Tribolium castaneum: one gene and its partner. Each later gene encodes a partner of the first gene's protein in a complex. Links are inferred from orthologs where the notes say so. Each region holds a gene or a part of one and is shown on either strand. Other genes may lie near its edges.

Region 1 (2,340 bases):
AATTTACAAAATATAAGCTTATTGCGACCTTTTCGTGTGGTGACAAGAGACAACACTTTGGAAAAAATATTTAATAGGTTAGTTAATACAAAAATATTAGGTATTTACAAGAAATATGTAATTATCGATTCGTGTTGTGCACATCAAACAAAGTCTCGTCTTCTTCGTCCTCGTCAAGTGGAAGAGGTGTCATCTCTATGTCACTGCGCCGTGTCCTCACACCGTATTTGCTTACCATCACAGGTTGTTTGCTTTTTTTACTGCTAACAAAACCCGTCAGTCATTAGAACAACAAATTACGTGCTAATTTACCCGCAATAAGTCTTCAAGGCCATGTAAACAATTACTAGAGCTGTTAAAATCACCACAACGGAAACACCCCGCAAAAGGGCACCCGATTCCATTTCCGTTGGTTTGAAAACTTTGTGATCTTCAACTTTCGTTTCATTTTTTTCGAGTGTTTTGCTCGGTTTTTTTGGTTCAGGAGGTACTTCCTGAGGTTTGACAGGTTGGGGTTCAACCTTTGCTTCATTTTTTATGTGCACTGTTTCTACATGATCCTTAGGCTCTTCTGCTTTGCTAGCTTCCACTTTTTTTCCGTCACTCTGAGGGGGTATCACATTCAGCAAACGCCGGTTATTAACATAAATCACTTCATTAGTTGTTACAATAAAGGTTAGGTGCGAAAACACAAACAAAACAACAAAAGGAGACATTGGATAAATTAACCACAAAAACGCATCAAAAACTTGCAGATTTTTTAATCACATTTCACTTCTTTTACGGGGTTTAATCATTATTTTGTATTTTTTCTTCCAGCATATTGACAACAGTAACGTCACCTGTCAAAATGTACAGTTTTTTAAAATTTGTTGCTTTTATAAACGCAAAACACGATTAACCAGTTTGAATAGGGCAAACACAACAATTAACTCGTTTTATCAATTAAAACAATTTAAAACTTTAAATATTTTGCTAATTTTGATTTTATAAACTTTTTGCTTGAAGGTAGTTGCCTTCGAATGTAATAACGCCCGAAAAAAATATCAATAAAAACTGAGAGCAGTGTTTTCCACTATTTGTATTGTATTCAGAGCATTGTGCAATTTTGCACTATGAGTATTATTGCATTTATTTGTCGATAAAAATATTTTAAATAAATGATTCGTGAATCGGTACATTCGGGCGCAAGCTCTACTTGCCTGACGTCAAATTTGGAGGTTAAATTGGTCAAATAAACATTTGATATTCGCGAAGAGTGATAGCGCAAGAATTGAGGCATGGCGTTGAGCTCCTCCTCAAAATTGTTGCGTGCCGTGGAGCCGCTGAGAGTCCTAGCAGCTGCCTACCACCCTAAAGTGATCGATCACTACGAAAATCCGCGCAATGTCGGCTCCCTTGACAAGAACGACGAGTCCGTGGGCACAGGCCTCGTGGGGGCCCCGGCCTGCGGCGACGTCATGAAGTTGCAAATCAAGGTGGACGAAAATGGGAAAATCATCGATGCTAAGTTCAAAACATTTGGTTGTGGGTCAGCCATTGCAAGCAGTTCTCTTGCTACAGAATGGGTAAAGGGTAAGACAGTTGATCAAGCCCTTGAACTGAAGAACACAGATATCGCAAAAGAGTTGTCGTTGCCTCCCGTCAAGTTGCATTGCTCTATGCTGGCGGAAGACGCGATAAAAGCGGCATTGTCTGATTACAGAATTAAGCAGAAGAAGAAGGAAGAGAAGTAAATGGTCAACGGATTTAAGGGTTGTGATATTTAAATTGTAGTCGGATTAAAATTAAAAGCTTTAATGTGTAAATTTGCTAAATTTAATTAAAGTTATAAATAAGTCCCGTCATTGTTTTTTTCCGATACTGCGTTGACCTTGCGCTGTACGTATCGTTATGCACTTTTTATCTAAAAATGTTAGTAGATCCTGAAACACGTAATTGGCAAAAACAAATATTTTGTAAACACTGAACTTACCTGAATATTGTATTTGAAACCTTGTTCTTTTAACATTGAATGTAAATTCTCCAATTGGAGGGGCTCATACAGCAATATATCTTCCCTAATTTTGGGGTTACTCATTACTAAATTGTGCCAGGCGATGTGCAAAGGCAATCGACACGATGCTATTCGCTTTGATTGGGTTCTTTCAAAAATCAATTCCTCCTCTTCTCCTACATCACCGATAATATCATTAAATTGGACGAGATTATTAGTACGTCTTTTTTTTACAATTTTTCCATCGTTATCTTCAACTATAGGATGCGTCGCCTCATAAATATATTTCAGTAGCTTAGCACCTTTACTTCTTTTGAGCGGTTTCAGGCCAAACTTATCCAGTT
Region 2 (2,205 bases), about 8.2 Mb from region 1:
CAAATCATCAAAGGAGAGAGTTTTGGTTCAATTAAAAGCTTGTTTATTCCGAATCTTGAGGGGTACGATGTTATTATTCACTTGCGCCCCCTTTTGAACCCCGTACGACACGAACAAGTCACTGGGGACGAGTCCGAGGGGCAAATTGTTTTGGAGGAATTTAACAGAAACGAAAGCACGAAAATTCCAGTCACTGGCTTTAACCCAGTTCAGTTGTATTTGGCCGAACTGCGCAAACATTACGGCGATTTTGCCAATTTTTTCCACGATACGTACGGAGGTAATTTTATCGGGGTTTTGTGGATACCTAAAGCTTTGGAAAGTCGAGACTTCAAGGTGAGATTTTTAGATGTTTTTTGATTTATTACATTTATTTTTAGGTGTCTTATGCAAGCGGGAGGAAACTTGTGAATGGAAAATTGGAGCTGAACGTGGATGCGTTGATTGAAGACTTTTATATTGTGGGAAAAGGCTTAGTCAAGTCAATTGATAAGAAGAAATAAAAAATCAAACAATTACTCTTATTATTTCTAACCATTACAAACCTTACAAATTAGTTTTTTTGGGCCCTCACGTGCTCAATAACCAGTTTTTCGGTGCTATATAATTGACTTACGACCACCTGGAGATAATTACGTCAATTAACCCCTAAACGAATTAATTGTGAATACCTGTCTTTTAATTACATCTAAATTACGAACTCCTTCATCCATTTTTTGCCTAATCACGTCCTGGTCAGTCAATTGTCTATTTTCCCGAAAACTGTCCCTTATCTTCCTTAAGGCATAGTGTCTACAACCCCCAATGAAAAAATCGTTTGCAAAAACGCCCTTACCTGAAGTTATAAGCCGGAAACTTCTTCGACTCGCGAATCAGAGCTTTATACAACTGCAACGCCTGTCTTTTACTCATTTTGCCCCAATTTTACGAAACCGAAAGAACATAACCAAAGAGTTGAGGTTGTGTTAGTTAGCGTTAGCCGTAACCTCAAACATGTGTTAGTTGTGTTTTTTTGGCGGAAAATAGTCTTTTGAAATGTCGGACGCTTGGGAAGAGATCCAAGCTATCAAAAGCAAGCGGAACATCCTGCGCGAACGCCTGGAAAAGCGCAAGAAGGAGCGGCAGGACATCCTTGGTTCGAGTCTCAACTCGTCACCTGTGCACCTGTCCGACAGCCCCCATGCGGGTGGTGTTGGGGGCGAAGATGTTAAAAGACCAGAGGAGGGTGAAATCGATTTGGTGAAAATCGACCCAGAGCTGGAGAAAGAGTTGTTGAAGGCGCTGAGCGAAGTCACTCTTCAGATCCCCACAACTTCGACGGAATTGGTCGATTCGTTGAAATTGACTTTGAAGCGACATGCCTCACATAAGGAAGTTTGCAATTTGTTGCAAAAATTCTCAACTCAGAAGTTGATCACTATCAAGGATTTAGTCAAAGAGGGGAAGAACGTGGTCGAAGTGACTTTTATCGATGTGACTAAAGTTAACGCAATGATTGCGGAGTTTTTGCCTGAACGGGTGAGGGAATCCCTGAAGCGGAAGCGAAACGACTCGGAGAAAAACGAAGACGAAGAGAAGAGGAAAAAAGAGAAGAAGGAACCAAAAGCTGACATCATGGTAATTAACTGATTGATTCTGTCCTTTTAATTAATTAATTTCCCTAGTCTTTACTATCAATGCCCTCAACGAAAGAAAAAGAGAGTAAAAAACTGGGCGAAGAAATTCTAGATCTGTTGAGTAAACCAACGGCCAAAGAGCGTTCGCTGGCCGAGCGCTTCAGGTCTCAAGGGGGCAAACAACTGATGGAGTTTTGCCCCCATGGGACTCGCGCCGACTGCGAACGAAACGGAATCACAGACTGCAAAAAATTGCATTTTAAAAAAATCATACAAAAACACACTGACGAAGCTTTAGGGGATTGTTCCTTCCTTAACACTTGTTTCCACATGGACACTTGTAAATACGTCCACTATGAAGTCGATCGCTGTGGGCAAACGGAGGGCGTAGCCCCGGCCGCCACCGCCGTCTCAGTGGCCCCAAAAGAAAGCACTACCTTGTACCCCCCGCAGTGGGTGCAGTGCGACCTGCGCTATCTCGACATGACTGTCTTAGGTTTGTTTGTCGGTCTTAATAATATTTGCGTTTGGTCGTGACTTCCAAAATTTAAAATCTTGTGAAAAGCTGCCATAATACGTCAAATGAGCC

The links.
Region 2: IscU (region 1) and bcn92 share a complex: the UniProt entries of both Drosophila melanogaster proteins name them as parts of the mitochondrial core iron-sulfur cluster (ISC) assembly complex. The link is inferred for Tribolium castaneum from reciprocal best matches to the Drosophila melanogaster genes IscU and bcn92.

What each region holds. Positions count from the first base shown.
Region 1 is NC_087396.1:14,883,238-14,885,577, forward strand, and holds IscU (iron-sulfur cluster assembly scaffold protein IscU), read left to right. Parts: upstream 1-1,184; 5' UTR 1,185-1,280; coding exon 1,281-1,736; 3' UTR 1,737-1,840; downstream 1,841-2,340. Other genes in the region: structure-specific endonuclease subunit SLX4, read right to left, coding at 1,845-1,925, 1,976-2,340. UniProt on the Drosophila melanogaster protein: Scaffold protein for the de novo synthesis of iron-sulfur (Fe-S) clusters within mitochondria, which is required for maturation of both mitochondrial and cytoplasmic [2Fe-2S] and [4Fe-4S] proteins.
Region 2 is NC_087396.1:23,067,655-23,069,859, forward strand, and holds bcn92 (protein bcn92), read right to left. Parts: upstream 979-2,205; 5' UTR 913-978; coding exon 836-912; intron 793-835; coding exon 672-792; intron 623-671; coding exon 554-622; 3' UTR 504-553; downstream 1-503. Other genes in the region: Mat89Ba (nucleolar protein 6), read left to right, coding at 1-336, 381-503; Mettl3 (N6-adenosine-methyltransferase catalytic subunit), read left to right, coding at 1,036-1,617, 1,665-2,112. UniProt on the Drosophila melanogaster protein: Stabilizing factor of the core iron-sulfur cluster (ISC) assembly complex that regulates the stability and cysteine desulfurase activity of Nfs1 and participates in the [2Fe-2S] clusters assembly on the scaffolding protein IscU.